Linked DNA regions of Struthio camelus. The protein of the gene in region 2 purifies or fractionates together with the protein of the main gene of each other region. This does not show direct contact. Links are inferred from orthologs where the notes say so. Each region holds a gene or a part of one and is shown on either strand. Other genes may lie near its edges. The genes, in order: RASSF6, STK3 and MAP1S.

Region 1 (3,743 bases), on a different chromosome or scaffold from region 2:
CGCTCGCGGGCTTCCAGGGCGACCGTTAAACGGCCGCGGCGCGTGAGGGGGGGGGGAGGTCGTCTCAGGCGCTCGCGGGCTTCCAGGGCGACCGTTAAACGGCCGCGGCGCGCGAGAGTGAGGAGGGGTCGCCTCAGGCGCTCGCGGGCTTCCAGGGCGACCGTTAAACGGCCGCGGCGCGTGAGGGTGGTGGTGGGGAGGTCGCCTCAGGCGCTCGCGGGCTTCCAGGGCGACCGTTAAACGGCCGCGGCGCGTGAGGGTGGGGGGGGGGAGGTCGTCTCAGGCGCTCGCGGGCTTCCAGGGCGACCGTTAAACGGCCGCAGCGCGCGAGAGTGAGGAGGGGTCGCCTCAGGCGCTCGCGGGCTTCCAGGGCGACCGTTAAACGGCCGCGGCGCGTGAGGGTGGGGGGGGGGGGGAGGTCGTCTCAGGCGCTCGCGAGCTTCCAGGGCGACCGTTAAACGGCCGCGGCGCGTGCGGGTGGGGGGGGGGAGGTCGTCTCAGGCGCTCGCGGGCTTCCAGGGCGACCGTTAAACGGCCGCAGCGCGCGAGAGTGAGGAGGGGTCGCCTCAGGCGCTCGCGGGCTTCCAGGGCGACCGTTAAACGGCCGCGGCGCGTGAGGGTGGGGGGGGGGGAGGTCGTCTCAGGCGCTCGCGAGCTTCCAGGGCGACCGTTAAACGGCCGCGGGCCGCCCCGCGCGCTCGGCTCGCCACTCCCGAAAGGGTGCTGCCTGCCGTGCCGGGAAGAGGAGGAGGAGGAGGAGGAGAGAGGATGCAAATGCTCCGAGGTGTCGCGTACCTGGCGGCGCTGCGCGGGGAGCTGCTGGTGCCGTAGGCGGCTTCAGGCGCTGGGCGCGAGAGGACTCGCCACCTCCTCAGCGGCAGCAAGCCAGAGCGGAGCACACAGGAGGAGGAAGAGGAGAAGGAGGCTGCTGCCGCCATTTCGGTCTCGCCGAGCGGAAGCGCCGGCGCGCCAGCTGAGCGACGAAGGGAGGAGCCAAGGCAAGCAGCGAGCCCGGGGCCGCGCCGGGGAGGGCAGGGCAGGGGCGGCGCGGCGCGGCGCGGCGAGGAGGTGTCTGGCGGGCAGCGCGATGGCCCCGGCGTTGCCGGGTAGCGGGAGTTGCCGCTGGTCGCCGTGACAGAGGCGGCGAGCCTCAGGGGCATGATGAACACACCTTACAGCAAAATTCAAACTGCGCGGCCAGGGAAGGCGAACCTGTGGGTTTGCGTGCTGGAAGGGTGAGCAGCACGGCTCCCTCCGGGCTACGCTGCAGTGTTTTGTGGAATTGTGGCGGGAACTTCTGCAAGTGATGTCCCTGGGCGGGAAGGCTGGCAAGGCTTTCGGGCCAGTCGTCTCTGCATTGGCATCCTTTGAGCCATGTGAACTTCAGTTCCCGCTAAAACGTGGTATGGGCAAATCCGATGCCTAGTGAGCGTTACAGAGGAAAGCATCAGTGCGCTTCGTGATTTTCAGCCCTATCTCCTTGTTTTCCCAGTGGATGTCTCGTCCCCTTCCTTGCAGCGCACTTATTGCTGCTTTCTGTCTTATTTTACGCTAGATTTTTGACTATGTGCAAAGGAGGAAAGAAAACAAAATGAAGTCTAAAATAACATGTACAAAACACGCCAAAGTAAAAATGGCAACCTCATCTGCAATATTGAAGCTACTAACAATTAGTAAATTCCTTTTTGAAGCTCGTGAATGCTTTCCGAAGATACAGTGGATTATTGAAACTGCAGTTTTTACTATGGCAATTTTTTGAGCAATTCACTGTTCATATAAGGAACATGGTTTAGGTGCGTCCACAGACAGCATGTGTAGTGTTTTTTTAAATCATTTTTCCATCTAGAATCTTACTATCTTCCATTATTGTGGATCCTACATATATTGTCCCCTTTCACTTGCCATCTCTTATTTTATGAACAGTAGCAACACTAAACTTCATGCACTCTCTGGTATTGACTATCTATCTTAATTGTAAAGCCTTATTAAAAAGGATATTTACCCAAGATTTATTGACACAGCTGTATACACTGTCCCTTCCTTTCTTGATTATTTCTTACTAGTATCCTGTTTCAAGAAAACTGAATGTGTGAGGACCTAGGAAGTCCCATAAAAATTGAGGGTCCCGAAACAGATAAATCTTTAAGATAGAACAAAGATGTATCTTTAATTTTTAATCTCTCTTATCCAGCATCTAAAGAACTGGAGGTGATGGATATAAATTGAATATTTAAGCTCATTTATAAAAAATTGTCCATATGTTGAGTATCTTTCTTTTTAGGACTGGTATTGATATTGATGTTGCCGTAAAAACAGAGACATTTAAATGTGGCTAGATTTAACTTTTCGTTAAATCAAAGTTGTTATCTCTAGTACATTAACTAGTGCTTTACTTAGTCTAATAGTTAGCACTCCAAATGAGACTATGCCTATATAGAAACAATAATTTAATAAAAGTTACCTGTCTTTTATTATACTGATCTTAACTCACTATTTTTAAGCTAATGCATATATCTATATCCTATATCTGATCTTCCATTTAGAGCAAAAAGTTAGAATGGTTACAAAGCTAAAGGGGAAAATGAGACATTGTTCTTTATCTATAAGCAGCTTCACGCTATGACTCCAAATCATCAGTATTTCTTTAGCTGTTGTACGCTGCCTGGGATCACAGATCCTCAAGCTAAATGCTGACACTTTAAATGCCAGTATTAAGTGTTCTGTTAATTCTTATTCTCATACTAATCACTTTGGCAGATGAGATGGGAAAAGGAATGAAAGTAACCTTAAAAGACCTTAAAAGTAGGGTAGTTGAAGGAGAAATATATCATGAACAGATGGTAAGACAGATTAAAAGAAAGAAAATTTTGAAGACAATCACGGAAAACGGGATGAGGAGATGAAAAAAATAACAGCAGTCCTAAAAGTTAGAGTTACAGAGAATAAATTTCTGTCAAAATTTTTCTTTTCTTTAGGATGACACTTCTGCAAAATTTCTCCAGTCATTTTTTATACGACGTGTATACTTGGCTGCAAAACTTCGAATTGCTGTTGCTGGAGTTTTCCACAAAATGTCCACCAAATTCTTTTCTGGCAAATCAGTGCATCAGAAAAAGCAGTTGTTTTATAAATGTTTCTGATAAAATTTGATATACCAATTGTGACTTGAGAACTGCTTTATTTCAAAAGTACATCGGTTATGAACTGACAAATACAGCCAAGCATACTCTTCCATTCAGTGATGCTAAGCTCAACAGAAAGGCATAGTTACCCATTATCTTTTAGGCAAACGTTACCTTTACTATTAGTAGGACTCCTGCTATTCATACTGACCACTACAGACAAATAAAAATAGGTTGTTCCTTTTCTATAGTATGAGGAAGAAACCTTTTTTTATGCCAATCTTGTAATTGTCTTCTAGCAACCCTCCATTTTCTATGATTCTTGTTTGTTCAGACAGAGAACAAATTGAGACTATTTTTAACATACGTTATTTTTATTAGTTAAACTCATAAAGAGCTAAGGAAGCAAAGGGAAGCAAGTGGGTTACATGACAGTTATACACTGTTTATATACCGCTCAATAATGTAAGTTTTTTTCAAGCAGAGATAATCAGACCATATTAAGAGTTACCAATGTCTTATCACAGGTAGTGATTTTATCAAAGTTATTTTCTCAATAGAGAATAGAAATCAATACCAGGAATAAAAAAATGAATCCTGTGTTGGTAGGCACTGTTTAGC
Region 2 (3,743 bases):
ACCTCTAAATAAGCATCTTATGCTATATATACACCATATATATATATGACATATATAGGTCCCTCTCAGTAATTGATCCTGTAGATAGAAGACACAGTAAGTAAAGAAATCTGATGATCATATCTATTTTGCCAGGTAAACATGGTGCTTCTCTTGCACCACAGCACCCATGGCAGGTACTTAGACCAAAAAAAAAAAAAAAAAAAAAGATCACTCACAAAATAATCTGCATTCTTTCCAGACTTGTAGAACAAGCATGTAGCCTAGCAGAATAGTTGGCAACACCACAAAACACTTCAAAAACTGCAAAAGACAATAGACAAAAGGGATACACGGTGCAGGCTGTATACTGTTCCAGTGCTCCGTCACCCTCACAGTAAAGAAGTTAGTAGTTAAAGTTAGAAGAACTTAGTTAGTAAAGAAGCCCAGAGGTGAGGTCCAGAGGAGAAGAATAAAGAAAAACCTAAATATAGAATAAATATTAATTATATAAATAATAAATATAAAGAAAGAAGAATATAGAAAAGCCTAAAATACAATCCACTTTGCAGCACTGTCTCTCTTGGCAGTAGCATGCTCTCTCACTACAAGTGAGGTAGAGAAAGGCAGCCTCAATGCTTTAAATAGCGATACTGTCTCTGCTTGCTTTTCCCTTACCTTAAACACTGGTAAATTTAGTTGGCTGGAAACAGATAGTTTAATAGTTATATTCACCAAGAAGAAAATCAGGGCTGTTGTCCTTCAAATTTTACTACTTCTTGCAGTTCTTCTGCAACACTGCAGTATCTACTGTCCTCCTCAGCATAAAAACAGGAGCCAGTATCTACCAGAAAACAGTATGAGTCTTCATTTTCAAAGACAGTTTCTAGCTGTCATAATGGCAAAGAAAAGCTTGAGAAGCCTAAGATAAACATATCCAAAACGGTCAAATAGTTCAAAAAGCAAAAGACTGCTAAAGCCAGTACTTCTCAAAGTCTCATAACTAGGTCAACAAAGACTGCAGAAAGTATATTGGCAAGAAATATTGTCAATAACACCAGCATGAGTTCATTTGCAAAAATGGAATTTATCAATAGAATCTCATCTAGCTCCTTCCACATTGCGTTTATCTCCAAATTAAAAATTATCTCGTGCATTTCTTTACCACCCATGTTCCTCAATGTATTGGGGTCAGCATGTCCCTCTCAGGGCTAGGAGCTTCAATACACTGAAAACAAAACAGGGCCAAACATTATAAAGCTCATCATCAGTCCTTAAGGCAAATTAAACATATACTAGGTGTCTTCTCTCACATGTTCAACTTGGAGAAGACAAAATTTTATTCTCATATTGACCACAATGCAGCTTCTGTCGTTGCCACACTACCAGGCTTGCAAATCAGGAGCCAAAGATTAAGACACAAGAAATAAAGTAGGAAGTAAAAATGGATTTATTATCTTCCAGCATAAATTTATACCGTGCAGTTTCTAGATTTTTCACTAAATTAACAGGAAGCAAGAATTTAGAACTCTTTAGAGTTCTAAAGTGGTAAGAACACATGTATGCTATATAACTACTTTCAGTATACTATCTAACTACATCTAAGAAAGGACTCTTCCAGTTTAAGTTTATCCATGTAATTAAAGAAGAATAGTTTTGTGTATGAAGACCACAGTGCTATTTTTAAAGCAAAAGCTCAGGGGTTCACATCACTGCTTAAACTCAGAAGCAAAAACTTTTTCTTGCCCTGAGAAAGACTCATATTCTAAATATCCCAAAACATGACCGATTACTAAGAATGGTTATTCCAAACAGCAACGCATACACTGGGGGAAAGAAACTCGGTTTTGCCTCTTCCCACTCCCTGATTTGCAACTGCAAGTATGCAACTCCCACCCCCACAAACACCTCTCTACCAGCAAGACAGAAGGGCACTTTCTAACGCAGGAAGACGTGAACTGCTTCTACTGGTTTCTCCCTTAGACCTGAACTATGAAATAGCACGCAGACTTTAAGGCCGAAAAGGGCCGCTCTCTAGCTCCAGGCTCACTCACTCCCCGTTAAAGTTTTCCTCTTCTAACTCAAGTCAGCGCTCGCATCCCCCGAGGGTCGCTCGGACGCGTACTCAGGACGACGATTTCGGGAGCGCTACCGCGCGCTAGCAGTTACCCGGTGCGGAGCACCGCCGCGGCCCGCGGCGGCAGCCGGGCCGCCCCTCCGCGGCCCAGAGCCCGCTACAACGACGGGACGCCGCGCAGCCGCCGCGCCCCCATTGTCCCCGCGCCCCAGCCCGCCGAGGGGCCGAGCGGGGCCCGCGCCGCCGCCGCCGCCGGCCCTGCCCGCGCACCACGCCCCCTCCCAGCGCCCAGGGCTCCGCTCCCGCCGGGCCCCGCGCCGGGCCAAGGCCGCGCCCGGCCGCCTCCCCCCCGCCCCGTACCGACGGTACCGCCGCGCTCGCTTCCGGGAGGGGCAGGAGCGGCACGCGAGGGTCGTTACCTTTTGGGCGCTGCCTGCTCCATGATGGTGCCGCCGGCTCCCGGCGCCCCCGCCGCCGCCCGGCGCGGCTCGCGGACGGCCCTGGCCAGCGGCGGGCTGGGCCCGCGGAACTCCGCGCAACTTTCCGCCAAACTCGCTGGCCCTTTAAGTGGGGCTCGCGCCCTCCCTCGGCCGCGGCCGCTCCCGGCTTCTCAGCCAAACGCCACTACCGCTGCCTACCCGCCTGCCGGTGGGGGCCCGCCCTCTCGCCCCTCTCATTGGTTACAAACCGTACCATAACAAATGCTGATTGGCTGGGAAGGAAGTCACCCAGCATGGCAGCCAGCAGGAGACCGAGACTCCGCCCACCACGGGGCCGGGGAGGGAGGGTGCGCCTCACGGGAAGTAGCGGGCGGCATGGCGCCCGCGGGAGGGGGGAACCGACATGCAGGCGGCGGCGCATGCCGGCCCGAGGCCCCGCGCTCCCGGCATGCTCCGCGCGGCGGTGCCCCGCGGGGCGCGCCGGGAGACGTAGTCTTCCCCACGGCCTCCGCGGAGGGGCGGCAGGAGGGGCCGGCCCGGCCCGACCAGGCCAAACCGAGAGCCGGGCCGGAAAGCCGGGGGGCGAGGGACGGCCGTGTCCCCCCCACCCCAGCGCAGTCGCCTCACCGCCCGGCTCCGGGCAGCCGGCAGCCTGTGCTTTTCTTCCTCATCTGCGCAAGCGGACAGGGTTGCGGCCGAGGGGCAGCCGCAGGCCGGCGCGAAGCTGCTTCCACCCCCCCCCCCTCAGGAAGTTATATCCTTTCTTCTATGGGCAAGCGGCTCCCGAGCAGAGGGGGCAGGAAGGCCGTAGTCAGTCCCGCAGGGAGCGGGAGCCGCTTTCCGAGGCTGGCTCCCGGCTCACAGCACGGCTTGGAGATGAGTAACGCTGGCAGTCGACTGTTTTTAATGCCGAAGCATATGAGTTATCCTACGAAACTGTAGGAAGCAATTATGTAATTATTCAAGAGGGTTTAGGCTGCTGAGTACTGTGTGACAGTTATCTGCAATCTCTCCCCATTACAGCTTTAAATCTCATGCTGTTTACATCGTGAGTTCAGATGCTAACTTGCAGAGCATCCAAGTAGACCCAGTCAAGTCAATACAAGAAAAGCTTAAACGTTCAAGCCAGTTCCTGTATTAATGGAAGTAAAAAACTTGGGTAAGATCTGTAAAGGTACTGGGATATTCTAGCTTCACTTTAAGCAGATTTTAGATGCATAACAAAAATAAAACAGAAAAACCACACA
Region 3 (3,743 bases), on a different chromosome or scaffold from region 2:
CTGGGGTCCTGCTTGCTGGGGTCCCCAGGATCTGCCCCGTCTCCTGCCCCAGATCCCTAGGATCTTCCCCCCTGGATCCTGGGGTCCTGCTCACTGGGGTCCCCAGGATCTGCCCCGTCTCCTGCCCCAGATCCCTAGGATCTTCCCCCCTGGATCCTGGGGTCCTGCTCACTGGGGTCCCCAGGATCTGCCCCGTCTCCTGCCCCAGATCCCTAGGATCTTCCCCCCTGGATCCTGGGGTCCTGCTCGCTGGGGTCCCCAGGATCTGCCCCATCTCCTGCCCCAGATCCCTAGGATCTGTCCCCCTGGATCCCAGGGTCCTGCCCCCCCCAACCCATGAGATCTCCCCCTACCTCCTGCCCCAGCCCCCCTGGAGCTGGTCCCCCAGGATCTGCCTCGGATCCCTGGGATCTGCCCCCTCTGCTGCCCCAAAGCCTGGGGACCTGCTCCCCCAACCTGCCCCATGGGATGTATCCCCCCCTCCCCGGCCCCTGGGATCTGTCCCCCGGGCTCCCAGGCCGGGGACCCGTGGGAGTTGCCCCCTCCCCTCGTCGACACCCGGGAGCTGCCCTGGGGCAGCCGCAGGGACGGGGATGCTGTGCTGGTTTGTGCTGGTCTGCGCTGGTTTGCAGCCGGAGCGATGCTCGGCTTGCCCAGGGGCTGTGCCCTGGGGAGCCCCTTCCTGCCCCTGCAGCCGTCCTCGCTTCCTGGCTGCAACTGGGAGGCCAGAGCAGCTCCCCTAAACCGTGGGGAAACGTGTCCCTGGGGCAGTGCCGTTCTGGCCCTCGTGGGAGCCCGCACCCAGCGGGGCTGGGAGCTCCTCGGGGCCGCCAGTGTCTCCGGTACCTCGCGAGGACGAGGCCAAACCTCGCCAGCCCTGGGAAGGCCCAAAGCTTGGCAGGAGGCAGCACTGCCTGGGAAACGGTCTGGAAAACGCCCGGCCGCGCCGGGCCGGAGCCCCAACGTTCGCCCAGCACGTTGCGCAAAGCGCGTGACGCTCTGCGTCGACCCCCTAGTGCCGATGCCCTGGTGCCTCTTACGCCATCGCCCTTGGGTTTGTGGGACCGTTAACCGCTGGGCGGGCTGGGGAGGAAGGGAGGGGGGGATGGCTGCAGGCGGGCTCGGTCGGCCAACGCGCCGGCGGTGCCGGTGGCTGAGCTCCCGGTGAATCCCCGCACGAAGAGCCCGGCTCTGTGGCAGAGCCCCACGAGGGTGGCTGGTGTTTTGGGGCCAGGATCCCTGAGTGTTTGCAGCTGGTGCGTTGTCCCGTGGTGGCGAGGGACTTCCAGACCCCTGCCCTGGGAGCAGGGAGAGGTGCCCGCATGAAGGAGGAGCGAACCTGCGCCAGGTATTCGCCGTCTGACGGGAGCTGGAGGTGTACGGAGGCTTGTGCGGCGCTCCGAGTCCTCCAGCGCAGCTAATTCTCATAATTACCGTCTTTAAAGAGGTGCAGGGAAAGGTGCTGCTGTAGCCCCAGGGGCCGGTGTTTCGCTGGCAGAGCCCGTGCGGCCGTGAGTCACCGTGCAAGGTGCACGCCTCGGGGGAGCCAGCCACACACCTGCGCGGGCGAGCGCCGGGGAGCGGGTGCTGCTCTGCCTCCCCGGGGAGAGGGGCTGGTGGCTCCGTGCCGAGGGTCTCCACGTGCCCGTGCTTGCAGGCTCGGGCAGGCCAGCCCCACACCGGGGAGGATGTTACTCAGCTGCACGCAATGGGTCGGCAACGCAGCCGCGTATCTGGGAGTTGCCTGAGGAAGCGCTGGGGGTCCTGCGGGCTGTGCCTAACCGCGCCGGGAGCTGCAGGTTTGCCAGCCTTGTGATCCCTCCAGTTGCCCATGGATTTCGGCGCTGGGCGTGCTCTCGGGGCAGGTGCTGCCCCAGCTCGGAGTTTATTTGGCGTTTGCGGTGTTGCTGCAGATGTTCCTGCTGGGGTCTGGCTTGGCAGCGGGCTACGTCTCCGGGACCCCCCGGGGAGGTGACGTCAGCCTCGTGCCGGGGGTCGCAGTGCAGTTCCTATCTCCCCACCCCACTGCATCCTGCTAGGGTTTGGATGGCAGCGAGGAGTCTGGAAACCTGCTGGGCCTGGGGTCGGTGCTGGGGTCTCCCTGGTGCTGGCTGGGGTCCTGCTGCGGGGTGGCGCGAGCGTGGCCGGTGCTCGCCTGGGCCGGGAGCATGGCCCTGGGGAAGGCTGAGGGCTGCCAGCGTTAATGGGAGGCTGCAGACTGACTCACAGCCTGGAAACCGGTGTGAGAGGCGCCTGGGGACCCGTTCGCTCCAGCTGAACGCAGCTCGGCCAAAGCAGTCCGGGGCCCAGCCCGCGCTGCGAGTCAGCGTGTGGCTGCGAGGAGCAGGAGGCCCCGGGCCTGGGTCTGGCCCTCCTGCAGCCGCGGAGAGGTTGAAGCAGCTCTGCTCCCTCCTGTGAAAAGGCCTCACAGGTCCCCATGCTGGCCAGTGGCATTGGCCTGACGCGGCCCCTGCTCTTGTCCCCCAGGCTCAGGGCAAGGTGGGGGGGAATGAGGGCAGACGTGGGGGGCGGTCCCCAGCATGGCTGGGTGGGGAGTGCGGCGCTGACTGCAGGAGCTGCAGCGGCTGCTCAGCATCCCCGGCTCAGCCGGATTCCCTGGGTCTTACATAAGCCGGTGCCATGCCAGGGATTAGGGAGGTGGTGATGCGAGGCAGGCCTGGCCCCCGAGCGTGCTGCGGCACGGGGAGGGGGCTGCTGCCACGGGGCATGGTGCCTCCCGGCATTTCTGCAGTCAGTGCTAGGGCTGGGTGCTCGCTGTCACTTGTGGCATGCTGAAACTGGGCACTGATGGCACCTGGTGATGGAGACGATGGGTGCTAACGTGTCCTGGGGTGCAGCAGTGGCTCAGGGTGCTGGAGGGCAGCTGGGCATTGGGAGCCCTCTGGCAGGCATGGGTGCCTCGTGCCTCCCACGTGCCCTGGGGCTGACCTTGCACCCAGGGCTGATCCTTCCTGCCCTGTCTTGCAGGTATCCGCTCCTGGGACATCGACCTCACAGCCTGCAACCTGGATGAACAGCTAAAGCTCTTTGTGTCCCGCCACTCAGCCACCTTCTCCAGCATCGTGAAAGGTGAGTCTGGGAGCAGGGGTGAACCCCTGCCTCCCCTGGCTGGGGCTGAGCCCTTGGAGCCTGCTGGAGATGGCACCCCGCAGCCCCAGGTGCAGCTGGCTCGCTAAGGACACTGGCTGGTGCTTTCTCTGTCGCAGAGTGAGCGTGGGCTGGAGCACGCGTCTGCAGGGTCCTCGCCTGACCCGGTGGCTGTGTTTAATTCATGCATCTCCAGAGGGGACGGGGTGCGAGTGAGGCAACTGCAGCACTGCCGCAAGCCGGGGTCTTGCACTCGCTGACTGCTGTTTGCTGAGCTGGGCAAACATTTAGCTGTGTCTATAAAACAGCTTTTGTGCTGAGCTAGTTGTGTGCTCCCTCCCTGACGCTGTCCCAGGCCTCAGGGCAGGTCCTGGCTGAGGGCTGGGGGAGCTGCTCGTGCCTGGCCGGGCTGCCTGTGTCCCTTGCCGCTCCTCCAAGTGGGGCTGGCTCTCACCTATGTGGGGAGCTGGGGTGTCCCCCAGGGCAGGCCAGGGCTGCCCTGGGGATGCAGCAGTGTCTGCGGGGCTGTCTGCTCCCACTCTCGTCTCGTGGGCTGGGGTGGCTCCGGCTGTGTCGCGGAGAAAGGACAGCTTGTTCCAGCGCGGCGTGGGAACTGACCGTGCTGGGACGCCGCG

Evidence for each region.
Region 1: the proteins of STK3 (region 2) and RASSF6 purify together in Homo sapiens (affinity purification with mass spectrometry; 4 studies listed by BioGRID and IntAct, counting the BioPlex papers as one, with this or other methods). This does not show direct contact. The link is inferred for Struthio camelus from reciprocal best matches to the Homo sapiens genes STK3 and RASSF6.
Region 3: the proteins of STK3 (region 2) and MAP1S purify together in Homo sapiens (affinity purification with mass spectrometry; 3 studies listed by BioGRID and IntAct, with this or other methods). This does not show direct contact. The link is inferred for Struthio camelus from reciprocal best matches to the Homo sapiens genes STK3 and MAP1S.

Annotation. Positions count from the first base shown.
Region 1 is NC_090945.1:7,927,347-7,931,089, reverse strand, and holds the start of RASSF6 (ras association domain-containing protein 6), read left to right. Parts: upstream 1-938; 5' UTR 939-998; intron 999-3,743. Other genes in the region: MTHFD2L (bifunctional methylenetetrahydrofolate dehydrogenase/cyclohydrolase 2, mitochondrial), read right to left, coding at 796-938.
Region 2 is NC_090943.1:147,191,198-147,194,940, reverse strand, and holds the start of STK3 (serine/threonine-protein kinase 3), read right to left. Parts: upstream 2,644-3,743; 5' UTR 2,499-2,643; coding exon 2,476-2,498; intron 2,436-2,475; exon of another isoform or gene 2,417-2,435; intron 2,255-2,416; exon of another isoform or gene 2,149-2,254; intron 1,992-2,148; exon of another isoform or gene 658-1,991; intron 1-657. UniProt on the Homo sapiens protein: Stress-activated, pro-apoptotic kinase which, following caspase-cleavage, enters the nucleus and induces chromatin condensation followed by internucleosomal DNA fragmentation.
Region 3 is NC_090967.1:6,689,592-6,693,334, reverse strand, and holds the start of MAP1S (microtubule-associated protein 1S), read left to right. Parts: upstream 1-1,126; 5' UTR 1,127-1,708; coding exon 1,709-1,799; intron 1,800-1,923; exon of another isoform or gene 1,924-2,046; coding exon of another isoform or gene 2,047-2,083; intron 2,084-2,988; coding exon 2,989-3,090; intron 3,091-3,743. UniProt on the Homo sapiens protein: Microtubule-associated protein that mediates aggregation of mitochondria resulting in cell death and genomic destruction (MAGD). Plays a role in anchoring the microtubule organizing center to the centrosomes. Binds to DNA. Plays a role in apoptosis.